Daphnia pulex: one gene and its partner. The protein of the gene in region 1 purifies or fractionates together with the protein of each later gene. This does not show direct contact. Links are inferred from orthologs where the notes say so. Each region holds a gene or a part of one and is shown on either strand. Other genes may lie near its edges.

What was found.
Region 2: the proteins of U3 small nucleolar ribonucleoprotein protein IMP3-like (region 1) and U3 small nucleolar RNA-associated protein 25 homolog purify together in Homo sapiens (affinity purification with mass spectrometry; 3 studies listed by BioGRID and IntAct, with this or other methods). This does not show direct contact. The link is inferred for Daphnia pulex from reciprocal best matches to the Homo sapiens genes IMP3 and UTP25.

Annotation. Positions count from the first base shown.
Region 1 is NC_060021.1:8,086,529-8,089,579, forward strand, and holds U3 small nucleolar ribonucleoprotein protein IMP3-like, read left to right. Parts: upstream 1-1,361; 5' UTR 1,362-1,522; intron 1,523-1,583; 5' UTR 1,584-1,620; coding exon 1,621-1,757; intron 1,758-1,820; coding exon 1,821-1,928; intron 1,929-1,986; coding exon 1,987-2,193; intron 2,194-2,260; coding exon 2,261-2,333; intron 2,334-2,396; coding exon 2,397-2,420; 3' UTR 2,421-2,476; downstream 2,477-3,051. Other genes in the region: transcription factor VBP-like, read left to right, coding at 1-444, 503-571, 652-774; uncharacterized protein LOC124194159, read left to right, coding at 2,722-2,862, 2,925-2,988. UniProt on the Homo sapiens protein: Component of the 60-80S U3 small nucleolar ribonucleoprotein (U3 snoRNP). Required for the early cleavages during pre-18S ribosomal RNA processing. Part of the small subunit (SSU) processome, first precursor of the small eukaryotic ribosomal subunit.
Region 2 is NC_060023.1:10,108,897-10,113,220, reverse strand, and holds the start of U3 small nucleolar RNA-associated protein 25 homolog, read right to left. Parts: upstream 2,862-4,324; 5' UTR 2,687-2,861; coding exon 1,536-2,686; intron 1,475-1,535; coding exon 1,261-1,474; intron 1,188-1,260; coding exon 1,050-1,187; intron 989-1,049; coding exon 916-988; intron 848-915; coding exon 462-847; intron 401-461; coding exon 206-400; intron 121-205; coding exon 1-120. Other genes in the region: WD repeat-containing protein 20-like, read left to right, coding at 3,222-3,716, 3,788-4,002, 4,086-4,324. UniProt on the Homo sapiens protein: Component of the ribosomal small subunit processome for the biogenesis of ribosomes, functions in pre-ribosomal RNA (pre-rRNA) processing. Essential for embryonic development in part through the regulation of p53 pathway.

The sequences.
Region 1 (3,051 bases):
GCCATTTTTAATAGTCAAGGTGTTGGTGCCAACGTTCCCGTGAACTTAAGCATGTCGTTAAACGACGAAAGAAGTGAAGTTACCAGCTCGTCATCGTCGGCCGACGATGAATCGCCCGCTGATTTGTCTAGTCGCAGTCATCACCAACGTGAAGATTCGCCGATTCCGCCATCGTATCAACATCATCCTGACTCATCACAGCTAATGCATGCTATGGCGGCTGCTTTCTCCTTCCAGCGGGATCTGATGGCGCAACAAAACAAGTCTGACCATCTTAATCAATCAGATGCAACAAGTCCGGCCTCACCTGCTGATCCTTCTCACCTGGTTGCCAAAGCCTTGGCCTCGGCCACCACGAGAAGGCCGAGGAGTGAGAAGAAACCTATTCCCGATGATTTGAAGGATGGCAAATATTTTGAACGCCGACGTCGGAATAATCTTGCAGTAAGTGATCTATAAAAATTTCCAAATTACAGAATTTTAAAATTATCTTTTTCTGAAGGCTAAGAGATCTCGAGACATGCGGAAAAACCGTGAGGATCAAGTTACAGTTCGCGCCAATTTCCTTGAGGTAGGATTTAATATCTAGTAAACAATTTCACTGGTTATTCATACTTCAATTTGAGTGTTTTTTATTTTGTAATTTGACAGAAGGAGAATTCGGTCTTGAGAGCTCAAGTGGCCACTTTGAGAGACGAAGCATTCGCCTTGAAGCAAATGTTATTGCACAAGAACGCTTCCGCCATTCTCCGTAGTCAAGCTGCCACCAGTTGAGCTTACGTTGTGGGGAGAACAAACAAGAACTTTGTCCACGTTATTGTTTTTACCTTTATATTTACCAATGCTAATCCCTCCTGTTTAACTGATTTCTCTTTCGGTTTCAATCCATCACGTCTTTTATTTATCATTTCTTTTTTAGACGTGCTCGTCTGCTATCAACCGACTAAGCTTCACAGTGCCAAAAATAAACGAAATAGAAATCAGTTTTTCTCTTGTCGACAATCTTTCAATCATGACCATCCGTCCTTGATTTTTTTTTAAATATTACACAGTTACCCACATGTTGAATACATTAAACAAAGTCCTTGGTGAAGACATCTTTTATCAAGAAACTCGAGTCAAAACTCAGAATCAGTCCTAAATGGAAACGTCGCATGTTTTAACAATGTTTTTTATGTTGGAAAAAACAGGAATTTACGTGGAAGCATATGACGCATATTTTTAGTTTTAATACAAGCTAGCTGTTGGCGATGCACTTTGAAATAATAAATATTTAAAAATAAGAACGAAGGGCTCGAATATTAGATTGTAGCATGCTGCCACCTAGTACTTTGTTTAACTATTAAAGAGAATTCAGCAGCCACACACGTGTGAGATTTCCGTCGTCTGCAAGTTGTCTTTTTTTGTCTGCTGTTTGTAGTTTGTATCAAACTTTTCGTGCGTTTCGCGAGGGGATTGCAAGGTTTAGCAGCTTTATTCTTCAATAATTAATTTCGAAATCAGCAACACATCTCTGTTCCAGGTAGAGTACAACGTCATAGAAATAAACTCATCGATTTTTTATTATAAGAATTAACTCATAGGATTTCTGTGCAACGTCTGAAAAACTAACAAAACAGAATGGTCCGAAAACTAAAGTATCATGAACAGAAATTGTTGAAAAAAGTAGATTTCATCTCCTGGAAGCTTGACAACAATGTTCATGAAGTGCAAATTCTTAAAAGATACAGAATTCAAAAAAGAGATGATTACACAAAGTAAGTGGATTTTAAATGACAGATTTCTTAAGAAATCATTTTGACGATGTATCTTAATTGCAGGTACTGCACACTTGTAATGCATGTAAAAAAGTTGGCAAACAAGATAAAGGAGCTCGACCCCAAAGACCCTTTCAGAGTGGAGTGCAGCGCTGCTCTTTTGGAAAAACTGTACAATTTTGTTTTCATATAATTTCTGAAGGTTACTTGACTGTTATCTTAAATTTAGATATTCCATGGGTTTAATTCCAACCAAGTGGTCCCTTGATCTTGTTTCCAAAATAACAGCATCCTGCTTCTGTCGAAGAAGACTTCCTGTGGTCATGGTTAGGGCAAAGATGGCAGATTCCATCAAAACTGCAACTACATTTGTGGAACAAGGACATGTCAGAGTTGGTCCTGAAGTGGTAAAAGACCCAGCATTTCTTGTTACCAGGTACTTATTAAAACTTTTCAATTATTGATTGCATATAAATGACTCAGTTACTTTTTTTATGAATTAGAAATATGGAGGATTTTGTGACCTGGGTAGACTCCTCAGCTATTAAGAAACATATTATGGAATACAACGAGATGGTAATAATGATCATTATTGCAATTTTTTAAAGAAATTAATCAATTTCATTCCTTCTATTTCAGAGAGATGATTTCAATATGGCTTGACTTGTTTGACGAAATGCAACTTGTATGGAAATACATCCCGTTTTCTATCTACTAAATATCGCTCATTTCCTGTCATTTTTAGAATAAAATTAATTCATTGAGTTAGATAAGTATACATTCTAGTTCAAACTTCTCCTCTGAGGTTAATGGGGTTTCCGTAGTGCTTCAAAGGGGGGGAAAACCACGGTTAATCTTAAAGGCTCAAACATTCATCGACACGGTAGGTTATTACTAACCCTTAACCGGAAAATTTATACAGTTTTCCATTCACTTTTGATTGAATCACAAGTGTCAAGGAAACATGGCTGCCAATATGTCCTTCATTTTTGTTTGCTTAATATTCATTCATCTAGTTTATTCAGGATTACCTTTTAGATCCAAAAAATTCAACAGGCAATCGAAAAGTACATTGCGGAATTACCAAACTGAATTCTTTAACGAGGTAATGCTCATGCATTTATTACGTTTATATGAAATTGTAATACGTTTCACTAAATTGTCAAGGTTTTCCAAGACCATTGGGACCGTAAAATGAGAACTCTTGATCCAAAAGCAAATAAGAGTTTGTGTATTTTATTATTCTCCCAATTTTATAATGGAGTGATATAAAATGTGTTTTACTGTAAAATTC
Region 2 (4,324 bases), on another chromosome or scaffold:
CATTTCAGCAGCTCGTTGACTTCCTACTATTCCAGCAAGTCTCGGAGCATCAAAGGTTGAATATAGAACTGTACAAGTCTGACTGCCATCTCCTCTGTACTTGGGATTTTGAAATGCGTCCTGATTACACAAAATAAAAAAAAGGAGAAAGCGAAGAAAAATGAAGCACAAGGTTAAATTAATAATAACATGGAATTAGGGTTACCTGAAGAAGGTTGCACAGCTCTGGGTAGAAATTGGGATAAGTTGGTAATTGGTAGAAAATGATGTGATGAATCCCTTTCATTGTGAGCCGTCGGTAGAAATGTAATCGTTCTGTGTAAAGTAGCAAGCGCTTCTTGCCGAGAAAGAAACGATTACGGACTTGCGCAAGCTTTCCGTCTGGCGTGTATTCACATGCCTGAAAACACGCAAGAAAATTAATGACGTCACCGTTAGAGGAGAAACATTTTTTTGCTTACTTGGCCAAAGTTGTAATCTTCCTTGTGAAGATGATTCCTTAATCTTACGTAATCGTAATACGAAGGAATGTAAATGAGTGTATTACTCATTATCTGGTCGCGATACTGCGGCAGGATCTTTTTAGTGAAAAAGTGGTAACGATCGTCGGCTGACTGGGCCGCTGTTGGCGTAGGAAATCGGTGAAATGCTTGAGGCAGCTGGACAAGTACTCTGCAAACAGTTGTCGATGATGCTGTAACTGCATTTTCTATGCGTACTTTGCCCGCAAAATTCGTTCCACGACGGGAAAAGAGCGCCGCAGCTTCGGGAAGCGCTACGCTGCTAAAAATTAAATTCTGCCTGTAGTGAGCAGAATAACCGTTTAGCGCCCAAAGACGGACACGACCTGCACGCACAATTTTATTGCGTTGAAAAACTGCAGACCAATAATAAAAGAACGATTTCAAATCATACCCAAGTCCGTGTCATGCTGTTCTCGTGGTTGAAGGTGCAAATGTTGAAAAATATGCAGAACGTGATCCCAATTCTGATAAACAAGGAAAAAAAGATGTTGGTTGACCTCAATACAATTTAACAAGAAATGTTACCTGCATATAAAGAACATCCGTCTGATCAATCACGAGCACTTCGATGCTACAGAGAAAGTCAAAGTCTTCGGCAAGTAGCGTGCGTGCTCCCAGAGGAGATGCGATAAGTATATCGGCTTTGTAGAACCCAGCGTAAAGCTAATACAGGTTACACAGAAAAAAACATTTGATCAAAATAAATGTAATTCCATGGAGTTTGGTTGTGGTTTACCTTGAGAGTACGTTTGGCAACAGAGATGCCTATCCTGAAAGAATCGTCCGTGTTTCCTGTAAATACCGCCTCAAAATCTTCTGGTTTGTAGCTCTTTTTCGTCTCTGCTTTGCCCTCGTCATCTTTTTCCTCACCAAACTCTTTATAGAAACGATCTTTATTGATAATTTGTCCTTTTGCAGGAAGCAACAATGTAGCTAATTTCTCCACGATCCTGAAACAAAAATAGTTAAAAATTAGCAAAGAAAATGTATCAAAACTGTGATTGAACTTACTTCACTGCAGAGTTTCTGAGAGGAGCGATAATTAGAACTCGAGGACGGACTAATCCTTGATCTCTATATTCTATTTCATCGGTCGCAACGCCATTTTCTTTGGCCTTTTTCAATTTGGCGTTGTGAAGAAGAACTTTGTCTCTCGATTTCATTACATGATTCAACGAGTGAAGGCAGTAAACTGTTCTAATCTCGTCATTGTTTAAATGGTTCATTTCAGGATAATAAACGTCGCGGTATTCATTTGCGAGAGTGAAAAGCTCATGCTGTAATGGGGAGAGCAGTTCTTCAGCCGTTTGTTTGTTGTCCGAGAGTGGCCTCGTATCAAGGTTGGAACATAATTGCAATTTAACACCGTATTCACTCAAGGGGATTCCAGTTTTCAATACAGGTAGACTACCAGGAATGACATAACTTTCTATTGTTTCACCTAGTAATGTAGGCTTTGGTTGACTTGTGTTTTTTTCAGGTTTGGTTGGCAGGTGAACCACCATTCTTCCAAGAACTTTCCACTTCAGTTCTTGAGTCTCATAAGGCTTGGGTGATGTCAGGATTTCTAAAAGGTTTTCATTTATTTCCCTGTCGAAATGAAGGTGGAAGGGATCCGTAGATAATGTTTCTTCTTCTTCATCACCAGAATGTTCTTCTTCCTCTGATTCAACTTCAAGATCTTCATGTATACTATTTTCCTCGTCAATTTCTTCAGCAACACCAACTGAACTACCACTTTCCTCTTCTCCTACTTCCTCATCGTCTTGAGCTGAATCTTCTTCTTCACTGCCAATGTCATCTTCATTAGATTGGTCATTGATATCTTCAGCTTCCTCTTCATCTGACTGTTCTTCATCAGATGTCAAAACTTGCTGTGCTCTACTACTGGATTTAAACATCGACAGCAGCTGTGTGTAAGGTTTGACTTCTTCTTCTGATTCACTGCTAGATGATTCTTCTTCGATAATAGGCACAGCCTCTTTTTCTTGTTGAAGCTTTTGTCTTTTACTTTCAGAAGTGTCATCTTTTTTTCCATCTCTATCTTGATTAAATTTCCTTTTGTTTTTAAAGTTACCTCCACCACGAGTCGATTTGTTACCACGGGAACCGTGGTTTTTGTAATTGCCACGTTTAGGCCCTCCTCGTCGTCCACGTCCCATTTTAAGAACAAAATAACGTTCGAATTTAATTTATCTGAAATCAAAACTCAAACTCAAATGCACGTGTCAAAATGAAAACTTTGATTGCAGACGTCCAAAGTTGCAAGAACAACACAGTTGATTAATTACAATTTAATAGTGTGCTGCCAAAAATGTATCAAAAATATATTTATTTAAATATATTTATTTATTTTATTCATATTTTTTATTTTATAAATTAAATTAAATGATTCCTTTAAAGTTGAAAATATAAATTGCCAACATGGCAACCAAAAATCACCAACCAAAATGGCGGGCGTCTGCTATCAGGGAATTCTACATCACCAGTGAAAATTAGTTTATTTACCGGAAAAGTTGACAGGTAGCAATCCTGCTTATATATAGACTGATTCACTGTTTAATAAAGCCTTCGAATGTAAAATTATCGGTGCCGTCACGATGGAAGACCGTTGTTTAAACGGTGGAGCCGACATGTTTGAATAATCAAAGTTTTGGTTATTATTGTTTGTGTTTTTGGATCGTTTGTTGTTTACCGATGGCTGGGCAAACGGATCTGAACAGTGGTAGTGTAAGTGGAAACAGCAGCCGGGACGATGTGCGAACTCATTTCACAACCAGAGAGGGAGTATATAAGTTGATAACATTAGCCGAATACTCCAGGGCAAATCGGCTGTCTGGTTACACTGCCATCCAAAGCCAGCAAGGAGCTGCGCTCGGTCAAGGTTCAAACCCTCCAGTTAGGGTTACTTTTGTGTCTCTACCATCTGATCCATCAGGTTTTTGTGACCGCATATGTTTCAACTATGGAAGGGAACTCTACTTCTACACCTACAAGGGAACCAAGAAACCAGCAGACTTGTCCAAGCCTGTTGATAAAAGGATTTACAAAGGAACCAGCCCCACTTGCCATGATATCAATAAATTAACAATCAGCAGTGAAAGTGTTATGCTTCTAGTTGGTTTCACTGGCGGACAAATCCAATTAGTAGATCCAATAAGGAAAGAAATAGGAAAACTTTACAATGAAGAGGTTTCTTGAGATTTTCTGTTTTCTTTATAAATTTATGGAATTTCAATAACATTATTTATTTTTTCCTTCAGAGAATAATTGAAAAGACGAAAGTAACATGTATCAAGTGGCTGCCAGGTTCCCCCAATTTGTTCCTAGTTTCTCATGTTTCGGGACAGATGTATCTGTACAGTGAAGATGTGACGTGTGGTGGACCAGCACCTCCGACCTATCAACTTTTTAAGCAGGGGGCCGGTTTTTCGGTCTGGACTTGTAAAGCCAAAAGCACTCGGAATCCCATTTACAGGTTATTATTCATCATTTCATTTTTAATCATTAATAAAATCAGGTTAAAGACTCCTCCCATCTAACCCCATATTTGGTTGTTAGGTGGGTGATTGGAAACGGCGCCATCAACGACTTTGCCTTCTCACCTTGCTCGAAATACTTGGCGGTTGTGTCGCAGGATGGGTGTCTGCGCGTTCTCAATTATGATGCCATGGAATTGATCGGACTGGCAACATCCTTTTTCGGCGGCTTGCTCTGCGTCTGCTGGTCACCCGACGGGCAGCTGGTAGTGGCCGGCGGCGAGGATGATTTGGTGACGGTTTGGTCTTTCCAACAAAAGA